Caenorhabditis elegans: one gene and its partners. The protein of the gene in region 3 interacts with the protein of the main gene of each other region in a pairwise test. Each region holds a gene or a part of one and is shown on either strand. Other genes may lie near its edges.

What was found. The genes of interacting proteins can lie anywhere in the genome.
Region 1: the proteins of scyl-1 (region 3) and gst-30 interact in a two-hybrid assay, tested with the Caenorhabditis elegans proteins (one large-scale study listed by BioGRID).
Region 2: the proteins of scyl-1 (region 3) and xpo-7 interact in a two-hybrid assay, tested with the Caenorhabditis elegans proteins (one large-scale study listed by BioGRID).

The regions. Positions count from the first base shown.
Region 1 is NC_003280.10:4,933,373-4,936,605, reverse strand, and holds gst-30 (glutathione transferase), read left to right. Parts: upstream 1-1,551; 5' UTR 1,552-1,589; coding exon 1,590-1,722; intron 1,723-2,160; coding exon 2,161-2,669; 3' UTR 2,670-2,723; downstream 2,724-3,233. Other genes in the region: ZK546.5 (C2H2-type domain-containing protein), read right to left, coding at 1-116, 171-264, 319-519, 579-655, 707-788; msp-152 (Major sperm protein 152), read right to left, coding at 3,196-3,233.
Region 2 is NC_003283.11:10,521,484-10,527,710, forward strand, and holds xpo-7 (Exportin-7), read right to left. Parts: upstream 4,426-6,227; 5' UTR 4,388-4,425; coding exon 4,373-4,387; intron 4,327-4,372; coding exon 4,189-4,326; intron 4,140-4,188; coding exon 3,312-4,139; intron 3,262-3,311; coding exon 2,800-3,261; intron 2,751-2,799; coding exon 2,096-2,750; intron 2,054-2,095; coding exon 1,986-2,053; intron 1,941-1,985; coding exon 1,852-1,940; intron 1,801-1,851; coding exon 1,395-1,800; intron 1,345-1,394; coding exon 1,042-1,344; intron 995-1,041; coding exon 668-994; 3' UTR 511-667; downstream 1-510. Other genes in the region: hda-11 (Histone deacetylase 11), read left to right, coding at 4,827-4,837, 4,906-5,130, 5,328-5,438, 5,485-5,576, 5,643-5,755.
Region 3 is NC_003283.11:13,036,366-13,043,689, reverse strand, and holds scyl-1 (Protein kinase domain-containing protein), read left to right. Parts: upstream 1-1,968; coding exon 1,969-2,088; intron 2,089-2,141; coding exon 2,142-2,264; intron 2,265-2,309; coding exon 2,310-2,432; intron 2,433-2,481; coding exon 2,482-2,779; intron 2,780-2,828; coding exon 2,829-3,222; intron 3,223-3,274; coding exon 3,275-3,945; intron 3,946-3,993; coding exon 3,994-4,181; intron 4,182-4,228; coding exon 4,229-4,493; intron 4,494-4,599; coding exon 4,600-4,749; intron 4,750-4,803; coding exon 4,804-4,934; 3' UTR 4,935-6,796; downstream 6,797-7,324. Other genes in the region: W07G4.2 (L-Fucosyltransferase), read left to right, coding at 7,124-7,208, 7,253-7,298.

The DNA of each region.
Region 1 (3,233 bases), on a different chromosome or scaffold from region 3:
GTCATTCTTTTTGTGTGCTCTTTGATGAGATTCCATGGCTGTTGGATGTGCTATGTTGACGAGCATATTACAGATTGTACAAGCTTCATATTGTTCTCCTCCTACAGTCGGCTGATCTTAAAATGTACATTTTATTATATATTTATTTATTTTTTTCTAATTTTACTTACTTCCAGCAAGAACAGCTTTTACAAGTTGATGTGCTCTTGCTTCGTGTCTCATTTTATCCATTGTTAGTCGATCGCGAGATCGGAGCCGTTCGAACTGAAATCTTTATTTTGTTTTAAAAAAAGTTACAATTTTCTAAATTTAAAATACCTCTCTTTTCTTCCATTCTCCACAAATTGTATTAATATCTAGCATGATATCGTCTAAATTCTGCAGGTGACACTCTCTTCCATGCTTTTCAAGTCCTGATGCAGTCAAAAAAATTTTCTCCTCACAAAATCGGCATGGATAAGATTCGACATCGTTAGCGATTCCTGGCAATTTCTTCGGTTTGAAGTTGGATGGGTGATTCTGAATATTAATAATTTTTCCTACAATAATTTAATACTTAAATTAAATAACAAATCTACCTCATTTACAGTCAATACTCCTGATTGTACTTCATATCCTTCTCGTTTAACTTTTTCACCTTCGTCGTCTCGAACATCTATAATGATTTGAATTATGACTTCTGCGACTAAAAACAATATTTTTATACCTTTCCGCGTATGTTTAAGCGCTACATTTTTTCGTATGATTCTTGGCGGTTTTCGTGGTCCTCCACCTATAATTGCAGCCATCTAAAAACAAAAAAGTTTACTAAATTGTAGAAAGTTAGAGGAATTAAAACTAAAAAATACATGGCAAAACCGATAAAAATTCAATAAATAAAATTTAATGTAAGTGCGCTCCATTGGATGCAAGCGAGAGAACGGAGACGCAGCGTTGGAGTCGACTTTGTGGGAAGGGCCACTAGACGAGTAAATTGGACCAAAAAGTATTAAAAATAATCGTATATTTTTTGTTCGGTAAGCAAAACTGTACGTACTCTTCATGTCTTCAGCTCTGAATTCCAATTTTGATGTAAATTATGAAAATAACAACAAATCCAAGACAATTGCGAGATCTACAGTACTCCTTTAAATCTAGTTGGTCGTTTCGAGACCGGGTACCGTATTTTTTCGTAAATTGCCAGGTAATTAGTGAAGAACGGAAATTTAAATTAATTTTTTTTATTAATTAAAGTTTACATTGTAATAGTCATTTTGTTAGATATGAACTGTTCTCAATTCTTCATTATTACACTAGTGTCTCAAATATGCTGACTATAAAAAAGAGCATTCTCAAATCACGTAAGACCAACAGAATCACACCTTAATATTAGCAAGGATGATAAATGTGGCAAGACGCGTCTCTAGTTTCCTCGATTTTCTCCCAATTCCAAGCAATTGTCATCATTTTGGCAACCTTTCTCGTACATTTTTAATGCCGCCTTACTTCGAAAAAAAAACACGATGAGAATGACAAACAAATTGAATGAAGGAGACAGTATAAAAGAGAATGTTTGAATTGGTCTTTCATCATTCGACTCCAAACACACTATGGTCCACTATAAACTTTCATATTTTCCAATTCGATTTGCTGGAGAAATTCCACGACAGATTCTGGCATATGCCGGGCAAAAGTTTGAGGATCACCGGATTCCACAGGCTGATTGGCCAGCTCTCAAGTCGAGTGAGTTTTTGAAACTTTTTTTTTCAAAATACTATTTATTCGTGATTAAAATGTTGTGCCGCTCTAACCGCTGTGGGCGTGGCGAGATCCACTTGATAAAATCTTGATTAGACCTGACACCAATATTCTGGGTCTTATTATAAATCATTGATTTTTGTTCACAAAAACTGACCTGAAAGCAATCTCAGAACTACCTTTTTTGGTTCAAAGTTCCCGTATAAATCTAACTTTTTTGTAGGGACCTATTTAGAAGGTGCTCTTTGAAATGAAATATGTATAGTTCCAAAATCGAGATATATGTTAAAGTATCTTCCATGTAATAGAATAACAAATACGATCACTTTTAATTGCGAGGCTGGCGGGATATTTGTGTACAGGTTTTTCTAATTTAATTTTTTTATGTCTAAAAATGTTGTATTGAATTTTCTATATTTCCAGCTATGCCGTTCGGAACTCTTCCTGTCCTTTATCAGGATGGGAAACCACTTGGACAATCCCATGCAATTTCTCGTTTTCTTGCTCGCCAATTTGGAATAAATGGAAGATGTCCATGGGAAGAAGCTCAAGTGAATGCAATTGCAGATCAATTCAAAGATTATCTCAATGACATCCGATCTTATAATCTCGTGAAAATGGGATTTGCACAAGGAGATGCCGATGCTCTTTACAAGGACACATTCCTTCCAAATTTCAAGAAAAACTACCAATTCTTCACCAATTTCCTTAAAGCCAGTGGATCTGGATTCTTGATCGGTGACTCTGTCACCTGGGTTGATCTGTTGATTGCTCAACATACATCAGATCTTCTCAGTGACAGTGGATCTGTGTTTGCTGCCAGTCAATCACTTCTAGACGAATTCCCAGAACTCAAGGCTCATCAAAAGAAGATTCATTCTATTCCAAATATCAAAAAATGGGTTGAGACTCGTCCAGTTACACCATTTTAATTCTAGGAACACTTTACCAACTTTTTTGTTGAAAATAAAGTAATTTCATGATTCAATACATCAAAACACTACATCGAAGTGCGGGAAGTAATTGAATCAAGAAAATTAATTGCAATTTAGTTTATTTCCTTAAAACGGCAACAATCTAAAAAAAGAATATTATTACAGAGACACTTAATAGAGTTATTGGGAATTTTGGCAATATTTTAGTATGCAGATACTGCAGAAATTTAAACCACTTTGCAATGCAAACAGAAACCAAAAATTCCAGGCTTCTTTTGGAATCATTTCGGCAGAACCTGCAGAAATGTTAAAGTTCGGTTTTTTTAAAAGAACTGATCGAAGAAACATTGCAGTGTCGAGCCAGCTAATCCAGAGGAAAATGCTCAAACTAGTGGAAAGGAAGCTCTTTTTTCGAGCATGACAATATTATCTCGTTTGAAAATCTCTGAAAATCTGTTCAAGTAAAAAAACAAAAAACGAACTATCAATGAAAATTTATTGAAATTTTGGAAGTTCACAGATCCTATGGGTTGTACTCAATTGGGAGGTTCTTACGACGGA
Region 2 (6,227 bases), 2.5 Mb from region 3:
CTGACAAAAACACGAGTTCAAGGGGATAGGAAAATTCGGAGGCAAAACACATTACAAGGGAATTGGGCTCAGGAAAATAGTAAATTAATTCTAAGCAAAGTTCAGGTCAAACCTACATGTATGCATCACAATTAAGAAAAGCGTTACGTGAGATTTGGGGTCTGATAAAACTACAAAATAAGCAAGGCAATGAAACGGAGTACAGATTGAACGAGAAACAGGCACCATGTAAAGCGAAATCAGAAAATTGAATGAAAGAAGACGTGTATAATGCACGATATTGAAATTTCAGTTTAGAAAAACGAAAGGTGCTTCACGTTATAATTATGAGCTTCAATTTAAAATAAAATGGTTTCTTTTTTAATTCACGTTCTAGTGCTTCAATAAGGGCGCCTACATGCCTGCCTGCTTCCAAGGAAAATTCGCCTAGCGCATGCCAACTGCCAGACCACACATGAATTTTCACTTCAGGATGAGTTGGAGCTACGAAAAAAAACTCAAAAACTTTGATCGAACAGTTTTTTTTTATTTCTCGATATTCAAAAACCCCAAGCTTACACACTCCACTTTTAATATTATAAAAACGGCAGAAAATGATACGTGAACAGGAATAACGGGAATATCTAGAAAACGATAGTACATAAATTAAATGAAACAAAGTGCAAATCTATTGCATCTCCTGATTTACTGAAGATGAAGAAGGCAAAGCCTGTCCTTTGAGCACAAGAGCAATATCACGACGGAATCGAGTGAGGTTTTGTGTGAATGTGTCCTTATTTTTAACTGTCAAATTCATCTCCACGTTAGACATCAGTTGAGTGAAAAGCATATCAAAATCTGCTTGACGATCGTATGTTTGTTGGGATGTCAACTCGCGCTTCATATCAGAGTATACGTCTTCCTGGATAAGAATCAATCCGAGAAGTGGACGGGAAAGACTCCATTGACATTTCACTTCTCCAAACATCATCAACGTTATCACAGCTTGAAGCATCTGGAAAAAAAAAGACTGTAAATCAATTTATGATAAAGTTATTTTACCTTTGCGAGAATGTCAGGATGTTGCTTGATTGCAATAAGAATATTGTCACCTTCTGGATCCATGCCGACTTTATTCGTTGGTGGCGTCGATCTTGTCAGCCGACGGTACAAATAGTTGAGAATCGTATCCAGTGATGAACAAGCTGATGTTATCACGATTGCATCCACAGAACTAAGTCCCGAGTGAATTGATCGAAGAAGTGCACAAAACACGTCAACCGAGAGATTCGTCACAAACGGCATATTATCTTGAACAACGTGCTCCAAAAGATTATAATGATTTTGTGCTATCTTTGTATAGCTCTGAAAGAACGCATTATTTAATTTTAGCATAGGTCGTAATATGAACTGACGTGGAAATCATCTTGGGGAATACTTGTGAACAACTTCACAAACGTCGTAAGCGCATCCTGAAGACAGGAATCACCATAGAGTCGGAATACTCCAAAAGGTACATAAGCTCCAATAAGCGCATTCTTGAGAATCAAAAAAATCACTCCAATATTCTTGTATCTTTCCTTGTATACTCTGTCTTTCGATACTTCTGGCAGTTGAAGAAGCCTTTCTCCGTAAATCGAAACAATTTTTGAAGTTTCTTTGAAAAGAAGTACAGCTGAGCACGAACTCATTTCGAATTTCAATCGTTGCTGTCGATTTTGAACCATTTCGGAGAGAAGTCGAAGAATTGGAGTAACGACATCAGCACATCCAGGCCATTTTTCTACCGAGAACTGCATAATATTGAACACTTCTGGGTACCTGGAAAGAAAAATAATTGAAAAATAATAAATATTTATAGGAAAAACATACATCCATTCGAATAGAATTTGGAAGATAGTTTTCGTTGTTGATGCTATTGCCACTCCTCGAAGATCTCGACACAGTCCAGTAATAATTTTCTGTAAAAAGTTTGTTTTAGTTTTGAAAACGTTCATTTTTATAACCTTTAATTGTTCTTCTTCAACTCCTTGGCAATTATTCTGGATCACAGTGCAAATTCCTTCAACTGTATCTGAAAAAAGTACATTTGAAAATCAATTGGAATTGAATCTACCTGTAAGAGGACGAAGGAATCTTTGAAGCATTTCCTCGTCGTCCGAATAATCCGTTGTTAAAAGACGCGTTAGTGCTTCGTAAAACGTCGTTCGCTGTTTCATTGTTTGATAATCAATATTTGGACCAAGAAACATGAAATGATCGGCAGTGTGATTGTTCAATAGAAGCTGAACTTCTGGTAAACGGAATAACTTTCGAACTGCAGAATATCCAAGCGATAAATCCTTGAACAAAGATAGGGAAAGATCCAAGAGATCAGAGTTGGACGGCCAGAATTTCAGATTTGTGAGAATCTTTTGTACAATAACACCTAGCATGTCAGACTCTTCCGTAATACGCAGTTCTGCTTCAAGTGTGTCGTAGACTGCACTGGCTCGAGTGATTTGATCCATGATATACGCACGACGGAATTGCTCAAGCATGTGAATAAATGAAACTTCCAGTCGAAGATTTCCTTTCAGTGGAACTGTATTATTTGACAACTGAAGCCGATTATCATTGAATCTCATAACTGTTATACATCGGGCAATGAGTTCTCCGTCCATTTTATCGTGAACATCACTGCTTGTTGCTGTCGTCTTTCCGAACACAGCAGTTCCGATCAATGTAATCAACCAAACGAGACGACCTTCGGCAATCGCTGTATTGGCATCCTGTAAATACAAATTATAAGTTTCAAAAAAAAACAACTAAGTGTCTTACATTTTCAGATCCATTCATCCAGATGTTGGCATTTTGATCAAAGTGTTGAGTGAGAAGTTTACATGTGTTTTCATATTCGCATCTACATATAATCGCAAGATGTTCCATAACTTGAAGGGTTGCTCCTTGATCATCTAATGGATTCTCAGCTCCTTCTCTGACAATGCTCTCAACGTGTTGTAATCGACTCTCGACGAATGCTGTCATGATTTCTGGACAATAAACGTTGAGAAGATGCTCATCATTATTTCGAACATATGGAACAGACGTCACCATTCTCTGCCAGAATGTCATAAGAAAATATGTACTGTTGGCTGAGAACTCCATCATTCGTAGGCTTTGTACAGTGAATTCCGCGAGTAACCTTAGCATGTGACTGTAGCAGGGAACAGCGATGAGCTCGCACAGCTGATAATTTGTTTTCAGACGAGCAATCAAACGGCAAAACTCGTGGAATGCGGCCTAAATCAGGTATATAAATATGTTTGCCTTTAATTTTTCATTATTCTTACCTGGTCACTAAGCTTCCCAGGGTTCATAATTACACTGACAACTCCTTCAACAAGTTTTTGAACGTAAGCCTGTCGCTCTGTTCCATTGAAAAGCGTTCTTCGAATACTTGCCAATTGAGCTATTATTGTCATCACTTTTTCACTTGATTCTTGTGGAAGCACATTTAAAAGTTTGAACATAAGCTGTACAATTTTTCCATCAGTAAAACTTGCTCTCCATGCTGTTGGGATTTGCACATTACAGTTGTCTTCACTTGTTTCGTCTGTCAAACTTCCTATATAATCAAAAAGTAGACATTGGAGATTCAAGTTGAGAACCGCGTGAAGAAGACCCAATTGGCGATCGTTCAGATTTCTGTCCACATTATCGTTCAAAACATTCAGAGATACCGAGAAAATCTCATATAAAAAATCGTCCCTGAACTGCGAAAGATTCTTGCGATGTTTGTTAACTGAATCCATTCCCGAAGCTGAATTCATGTCAGCAACGAGTAAGGTTAACAGTTGCACGGCCAGCATACTTTCCTCGATATTATCCATGTTGATTGTTTTGACAAGGCTATCAACCGGATCACGAAATGGATATTCAATTTTTGTGTCTTCTGTTTGATTTTCTGTGGGATTTTGATACGTCCATTCTTGTTTCGTGAGTCTTGCAAAAAGTTGGCAAAGTGATGTGACGAGATATGGAGGAAATTGAGGTGCACCTTGACCTAGCATTTCCAATAAATATTTTGCAAGCTCGAGCTTCTGAACAGAAGTGATGCTAGTTTTTCCGCCGAGAAGTTTCATTAGTGTGGTGCTTGCTACCATTGGTCCGTATGGGTACTGAAAATCATTATGTAAATTGTTTAACACTTTTATTATTTCGACTTACATCTCCTCGTGCAAAGAGAAGCATGCATCTTTGAAGGCATTCGGGTGACTCTGACAGTTCCGCAAGGTTACTCTCGGCTCGGTGTCGGGCTTGCGGATCGACACTCTCATATAGATCTTTGCATAGACTGTTTAGTACCTAAAATAAGATTAGAATGCACATTAAGAATTTTGAAAATGCTAACCGGTAATTCATCCATTTTTGAAGACTTCGAATCCGCTGTTCAGCGATTCACTCCTAAAATATCCAATTCAGAAGTAATTATAGCTTGAGAAAGAGGAGAAAAATGTTTTGAAAAGCAAAAAGAATGTTTAAAACGGATAAAATTAATTCGGCGTCTTCCCACCGTTAATTGTTTCGAAAAACTGCAAACTTTGGTGATGATTTGAGTTTCTGAAAGACGAAACATCTTGTCCTGGTGAAGTACACGGCGGATGGCCGATAAAAAAGTTAGGCCATCCTTTCTCATCCTACTCTACATCCCACAGGCTCTCTCGCCACAATTGGCATCTTTTGGCAGTTTCCACTATTTTCAGAATTCGTTATCTGTTTTCTGATAACAAAAACAAGAAAAACAGAATCTTTACGACTACTTCTTTATTTATCCGCTCTAACCACTCATTCTACGCAGATTTTGAATGGCAGAGCGGTGAGTTTTGAAATTTAATCTGTAGTACAACATGCAGTTGGAAATGCCAAAAATATCAATAATTTCAGAGATAAAGATGAAATCTTTAGTTTAAAAAGTTATCAACGTCCAATTGTCTATCATTCTGAATATAATGTAACTGCATTTGGAATCGAACATTTACATCCATTTGATTCTTCGAAATGGAGAAGAGTCATTACACATTTGAAAGAAATGAATCTGATCACTGATGAAACACTCGTTGAGCCAAATCTACCGACATTTGAAGAACTCACTAGAGTACATGATAGAAAGTAGGCACATGAAAGTGTTGTGAATGTGATTGAATCGTGGAATTGGTTTATGAAAAAATCATGTTTGTATGGCCCCATACTTAAATTGAAAGAAAATAATTAAGCTCATAACGTTTATAGTTGACATTCTAAAAAAAAGTTAGATGAGGCGTTCAACAATTTCAACTAATAAAAAAAATTTATTCATATTATTTTAGATATCTGAAAAGTGTTCGAAATCCTATTAAAGCAGCACAAATCGTCGAGATTCCATTTGTCGGTTGCCTTCCACCGTGCATTATTGAAAGCAAGTTATTGCATCCACTACGGTATCATTCCTAGTAATTGTTGTATTCATTTATTTGTGTTTTCCAGTTTACAAGCCGGTGGAACAGTTTTAGCTGCCAATTTGGCTCTAAAACATGGTTGGGCGATCAACGTGGGTGGTGGTTTCCATCATGCTTCTCGTATGTTTTTGTTATTCCGCAAGAAAAATAGACGCTATGGGATTGTACAGCAGCCTATAATTTCAGATTCGGGCGGAGGTGGATTCTGTTTTTACGCTGATATCACCATGGCAATTTTCGATTTGTTTGACAAAAAGGCAATTGCCAACGCGATTGTTGTAGATTTAGATGCTCATCAGGTACTGGAAAAAACATTTGAAAGAATATAAAATACCGTATATTTTCTATTGATGCGTGCGGCACCTTCACTGCTCAACTTTGACAGCATATAACTCAAAGGAACACGTGTAGTCAGAAAATCCCATTCCGCTTTGATCTTCGAAAAATGCGGGAGTTGAGACGCAGACATCTCATTTGATTTGGAATGGTTAAGAACGTGCTGACGTCACAATTTTTCTGGGAAAAAGTCCCGCATGTTTTGTAGATCAAACCGCAATGAGACAGTCTGACATCACATGAAGGAAGTATTTTGCCTAAAATCATAGATGGCCGATATCTGAGCTTTCAAAGTTAGAATTGTCCTCAAATTTTAGCTACCTTACAGTTACGTTAAGAATTCTATAGACTACGGTATCATTTTGGAAAACCATTTGGAACGTGAATGAAATATGTCTAGCCCGTAAAGATATTTCTCAAATATTAGATATTAAT
Region 3 (7,324 bases):
GAGAAATATGAAGGCGGGAAGAAGGAGGATATATAAGAAATTGAGTTTCAAGGTTTGAAGAGAAGTGGTTATGAAGTTTGTAGGAGCAAAAGAGATGGCAGGCTAGTTCTTTTCGATAAAGCCATAAATAGAAAATACTGCGCTCATTGAACGAAAAGAGTTCAATTCAGTCATGTGCACGCAATTCTGGAATAAAAATCATTAAATGAAAAACGATGTGCGTCTTTAATTAACGCTTATCAGTAGCATATGTTGAAACAAGGAAAAGGAGGGACACATCTGCGATGTCATCTACTCTCTCAGCTGGCTGACTGACAGGCTGATAAACGCCGTCAAGTCGGCTGTCTGCTAATTTGATTTATAATTTATTGCGTGTTTGTACAAGCATGGGAGAGCACTGAAATCACCGGCAGACACTGAAACTTTTGGAGCGACTAGTCGCTATAAATGATAGAAAGTGGGCGGAGATTCGGAGAAAATGAAATTGACGTAGGTTTCCTGATGGCGCCAAATTTCGAGACTTTTCCAGAGGAAATTAGAGAAATATGTGACTTATAATTAGATTTCAAGGAAAACCTGAGCACACGTCATGAAAATAATGATATTAGAACTTATTTAAATAAACGTCGAGGTCGATGTCGAAATTTTTATTTTGCGGAAGAATCAGAGAATGGTCTCACAGTAAAATGATCAGAAATTTGAGCGCAAAAAGATTGCAAAGCATACAAAATTGACAAAAAAACCTATTCTGTAACAATGCGTTCTTTTGTAATTATAGAAACGGATACATTGAATTTTGTTCTTTTGATAGAAACGGAAACAATTAATTTTCGCGAACGTTTCGCAGCAAACATCACATGACAACAAATCGATTTCCATTTTCCGCTTAGAAATCTCGAAAAAAGCAGTATTGGTCGAGTGAGTTTTCGGGCTGTCTATTGATAAACACTGACCCGTTTATACACATTTTAGCGGAAGACTGGTTGACGTTCTGGTCTTTTTCTATAAAATGAGTATGGGAAAAAATTCCGCAAATTTTTTGAATTAGAAATGGGAATATGAAAGTTCGAAACTATAAATTTTCGAGCGCTTTGCATCATTCGACACCATAGGGCATGTTGGTTCAGGCCGGAGGCGATTAGGTCGTCAGTTTTCAGAGAAATGTGTTATCAGGTGTAAGACATACACACAAATATTCACACTTACACGCGGGGCTGTGCAGAACTTGATTTGCGAGCCAAAAAATGTTGTCATCACGGAATTTCCCACCTTTATCGCGTTTTCGAAGGTGTACTATTTTGTGACTGACATTCCAGAAGCATTATTGTGATCAAACGATCAAAAATAGAAGGAATTTAATATATACGAGGAGAAAAATCATTAAAAGATATGGAAAAAAAGGAAAAGTGCTGACTAAATAGTGAGAGCTAAAAAAATTATCGAAGAATTTTGAGCAAGGGTACTGTAGATTTTAAAGGCGCAGATGCGACCAAAGTGATGGGCATCGGCACGAGAAGTACAGTCACTGGTTTTTAAAATTCTTTTGAATCATTTTCGAATATATTTTTCTTTGTCTCTTTCAATGTTTTTCATTAAATACCAGATCATTTCTAGACATTCTGAAAAACTAAATGTAAACTGAAGCTCTAGTAATTTGATAAAACATTATTATGTTTCAGTTCTATCGCATTTCACTATTTTCGGTAAGATTTATATAAATTCATTGAGAAACCAGAGAAACTAGGAAAAACAAAGCCAAAATAAACGAGAATGAGTCTATTCTCATCTTTTAAAGTGAGTGAAAGAGAGACGAGACGCAGAGAAACTGCAATCGATGCGTCAGTAGTGACAATCTTGCCCCTTTTTCTATTAAATGTGTTCAAATTCGATTTCCACGTAACCCGACCGGTTTTCCAGCGTTTCAATTTTACGGAGAGATTATTTTATAAATTTCGATCACTTTTAGGGATGGCATCGGTGTTGTCATCCTTCTTCCAACGGGATCCGAAGTCCCAATTCCCATATGACATTCCTGGAGCAGAAGAACACTTTTTCGATCGAGTTTCGATCGGAAATAGCTTTAAGAAAGTGAGTTTTTGCATTTTTAGCTGTTCAATGAATATTTTCAATAAATATTGTAGGCTGAACCCGGTGAACTCGCAACAATCTTCTGGGACAACCGAAGTTCAACGTTAAAACAACAAGCACAAAAGCTGAAAACCATGCGCCATCCTAACATTATCACTTATTTAGATAGTATTGAAGTGGGTTTTCGCAATTTGATGACTTCACACGAACGGATTTTTCAGCTAGAAGGAACTTTCTACCTCGTCACGGAAAAATGTAAACCACTGGAGCTGTATTTAAAGGAAGCCGGTCTCACTGAAAGCCAAAAAGAATTTGTTGTTTCCTGGGGAATGTTTCAGTTATTAGTATGTTTTTTAATAGTTGTAAACTTACAAATAATCTATTTTTGTTCAGAACGCTCTAAAATTTATGCACGAAGCTAAACTAAGTCACGAAAATCTGCGTAAAGGAGTATTTGTAACAGCCGGAGGAGATTGGAAAATTGGTGGACTTCATTTGGTCACTGGATTCACTAGTCCACAGACAGATTTAAATCAATTAGCAATTGTTTTATGGGAAGTTTTCAATGGATTCAATGACGCTATCACAAGACCACAGGCTCCAGGGAAGATACCACAACGGATACACGAATTATACAAAAAAATTGGAGCACAATCAGCTGCACGACTTGCAGTTTGTGATATTATTAAAGATAATCCAAAATTAATTTTGTTGTTTTTATTCAGTTTCAAAGATTTCAGAATATCGACTCACTGGGGGATACTTGAAGAATAAATTCGTGGATACTCTACTTTTCCTGGAAGAATTCGAACTGAAGGAAGCTAGCGAAAAACAATCGTTCTTCATGCATCTTCGAGAAAATATTGATATCTTCCCAGAAGACGTAGCAAAATATAAAATTCTTCCAAAACTTATTCTTACCTATGAATATGGAGATGCAGGACCGAATATTTTAATTCCTCTGTTCAAACTTGGACGTCTTCTTGATGAAGCAGAATATCAGAGAACAATTGTTCCATGTTTGTGCAAACTTTTTGGCAGTCCAGATAGAACTACAAGAGTCAAGTTGTTAGAAAGAATCGATGAATTTGCACCTCATTTGACTCCACAAATTTTGAACGACAAAATATTTGGGTTAGATTTTTTCTCTGAAATCTGAAATTCTTATTTAAATGTTTAATTTCAGAAATTTAACATCTGGTTTCTTGGACACAAATCCAGCAGTTCGCGAAAGTACAGTCAAAGCAATGGTTTCATTGGCAGAGAAACTCAACTACAATAATTTAAATGTCGAATTGATGAAGTATCTTGCCCGTTTACAAGGAGGAGATGAGCATGGAGGTATTCGAACCAACACTACCATTTGCCTCGGGAAGATCGGACACCTGATTGCACCTGCTAAACGACAAGGAATATTAATAAGCGCATTTACTAGAGCTCTGAAGGATCCGTTTGCACCATCAAGAATGGCTTCAGTTCTAGCGCTTTCTGCAACTCAACAGTTCTATCCACTCGTTGAAATTTCCAACCGAATTGTTCCGAGTCTCATTCCGTTGACTTGTGATCCTGAAAAACAAGTTAGAGATCAAGCATTCAAGGCTATTCGTGGATTCCTTGAAAAACTTGAAAAAGCATCTGAAAATCCAGCTTGCATTCCTGAACTCGAAGCTGGAGTTAAAGCCGGAGCAAGTTCTATTCTGGACCACGAGAAAGTTCCACAATGGGCAAGTTGGGCTCTCAAGTCATTATCTGGAAAGTTTTATAAGGGACCACCTCCAGCAGAAGTCAAACCAGGAGCGCCAGCTACTGCTGATACTTCCTCAAGACCAGTAACACCTAACCCAACGGCGGAGAAAGGTTTGTTCTGCAATTTTTTCAATAAGTTGTTAATATTTTTATTTTCAGAAAAATCAAGCACAGTTCTCAAACCAACCCCTGCTAAACCTGCAACAAATGATGGTTGGGGAGATTTAACAGATGGAGGAGATATGTTCGCAGTGAAGGATTCAAATGATTCTGCTATTGATGATTGGGCTGATATCAACACGAAGTCTAATGATGCTGATGACTGGGGAGTTGGTTGGGATACTCCAGTAAGAATTAAGGTTTTATTTACTTAAACCATATTGTCTTATTTCAGATAGCAACTGCCACATCATCTCCCATTCCTGGAGTCAAAAAGTCATCATCTAGTTCGTCTGCAGCCGCGAAGAAGCCAACAATTGGACGATTAAACTTAGGATCGAATCTGGCAGGATCATCTGCTCAGAAACAAACCAAAAAAGCTATTGATGACAATATTGATGCACTTCTCGGAATATCAGCACCTCCAGCTGCGGGATCTTCAGTCAAGCCGAATTCGCTGAATGCTCTCATGAACAATTCTTCCTCTTCTACAAATACTGGTAAATATTATTTCCTTAGCATATGTTTTATTTTCTCACGTAGAATTTAGTTATGAAACTTGTTTGATCTTTTTTTAATGTTATCTGAAAACATGTATATTTTCAGGATGGGGATTCGATGATCCTTTACCAACAACTAATAATTCATCAGCTAACAAAGGATGGGACGATGATGGATGGGGTGATAACAGTATGTCAAGCAATGTGCTTCAGCCAACTGCAGTACTCCAACCAACGAAAATGAAGGATGATAAAGGTACGGTCACCGTTGTTGGAGAATAACAATCCGCTTGCATTTTTCATTTTCCAGATGCTCGTCGAGCCGAGATGCAGGCTAGAAATGAAGCTCGTCGCAAAGAACAAATGGATCGCAAAAAATCTGCCGGAGCAATGAAATTGGCATCTGTAGAAAAGAAAATGGACGATTTTGCTGACTGGTAACAAGAAACTCGCTTCGTTTTGTAGTAGAGATCACCCTACTTGTATTTCACATTTTTGTAATTAAAACTGTTTTATTCGACCCCATTTGTATCAAATCCTAACAAGGGAAGTCTTTGAGGAGGTCCGTAGATTTGGGGTTCTCATGCTAAAATTCCTACAGAAGAGTGTTAGTTATGATCTCTCCAAAAAATTTAGCTGCCCCGGTCAAGTTTCAGCAAAGTTATGACGTTTTGAAATTTCAGTTAAAAACACCATTGAAATCCACTGTCTTACCATGCAATCCACGCAAATCTCAGCTTGCGTGACCACCGAAAATGTGACACCCACCACATTGAGTTGAAAAATGTCCTCGGTGGCCGAGTTGGGAGTGCGCGCGTCTGATAAGATTTAGGCTTTGGTTCGATTCCTTCTATTTTTGAAATATTTTTGTAAGTTGAATAAAGTTTTAAACAACCTATTCAAACATTTTTGCGCCTTTTTAAAGTGATTTTATTCTTATTCGGGAACCTAGAATCATTGTCCGCACTTTTTGGAAATTTTTATTTTTTTCATTTTTGCTCAAAATTTCTTGATCAACTCCAAGCAAAAAAATCAAAAAATTTCATTTTTCTAAACAATTATGAAATTGCTATGTTGTTGTTCAGAAATGTATGAAACGTACATTACACAAGTTTTAACTCTCTATTCGCAAGTAAACCGTCGAAATGATCTACATCTCACGAACTTTGTGCAAAATATTTAACCAACTTTGAAGTTGCATAACTTCGTTGAGATAAATTATTGTGAAAAATGATCAACTAACAAAATGTTTGTTGAATAACAGTGAACAAAGTTTTAGTTATAAACTTTTTGATACCTTCAGCCACCAAAAAGTTGTGACCGTTTTCCAAAACACAATGTTAATAGAAAAACTAGCCAAATGCCAACCTTGTTTTCTTCTTTGTAGCTGGAGGTATCAAAAAGTTTATAACTAAAACTTTGTTCACTGTTATTCAACAAACATTTTGTTAGTTGATCATTTTTCACAATAATTTATCTCAATGAAGTTATGCAACTTCAAAGTTGGTTAAATATTTTGCACAAAGTTCGTGAGATGTAGATCATTTCGACGGTTTACTTGCGAATAGAGAGTTAAAACTTGTGTAATGTACGTTTCATACATTTCTGAACAACAACATAGCAATTTCATAATTGTTTAGAAAAATGAAATTTTTTGATTTTTTTGCTTGGAGTTGATCAAGAAATTTTGAGCAAAAATGAAAAAAATAAAAATTTCCAAAAAGTGCGGACAATGATTCTAGGTTCCCGAATAAGAATAAAATCACTTTAAAAATGCGCAAAAATGTTTGAATGAGTTGTTTTACAACTTTATTCAACTTACAAAAATAGAAGGAATCGAACCAAAGCTTAAATCTTATCAGACGCGCGCACTCCCAACTCGGCCACCGAGGACATTTTTCAACTCAATGTTGTGGGTGTCACATTTTCGGTGGTCACGCAAGCTGAGATTTGCGTGGACTGCATGGTAAGACAGTGGATTTCAATGGTGTTTTTAACTGAATTTTCAAAACGTCATAACTTTGCTGAAACTTGACCGGGGCAGCTAAATTTTTTGGAGAGATCATAACTAACACTCTTCTGTAGGAATTTTAGCATGAGAACCCCAAATCTACGGACCCCCTCAAAGACTTCCCTTGTAAGTACATCAAACAATTTCCTGTGATTCTATCCATTAACGTATTCTATTCATGTTTTTCTTTCTTTTTCTCATTTCCTTCGCTTCCAAACAAAAATTGCTCGCATTTCATGTTCTTTCTTTTCAAAAAAATTATGATGGTTAAAATAAAACTTTAAAAAATGTACACTTGGTTTTACTATTGAATCGTCGGACCCATGCTGTGTTGCTGTGGTGCAAAAGGTAATTTTTGACACTAACAAAAGTTTAGGCAAGTAGGTAGGCATGAGATAGGCTCGTAGGCAAATATGGGAAGGTACGTAGGCAGACTTGAGGTATGTTTGAAAACAAAATTACACTTGATGTTCTTTTGGGACAAAAATGTGCAGCCCATACATGTTGGACTCATGCTGTGATTCGATGTATTGGAAAGGGATCACATCAATTACGAAACATCGAAACATGCATTTTGTAACTACTCCTGTTTCATCTCTTCTTCTTTCAGCTTTACTAAATGACCGAAATTCAACCACCAACACCCTCACTTCTTACGAAAATGTTCAAAACTCGGTTATTTGTAATTTTTCTGATATTAACTGGTAGGGTAATAGGAACATTCAAAAGTTCAAACTTCCAATTACAGTAATAATTCTATCTACAAATGTTTGCAATAGAACTACGTTACCAATGTAAGTCCAAACACCGATAATTATTT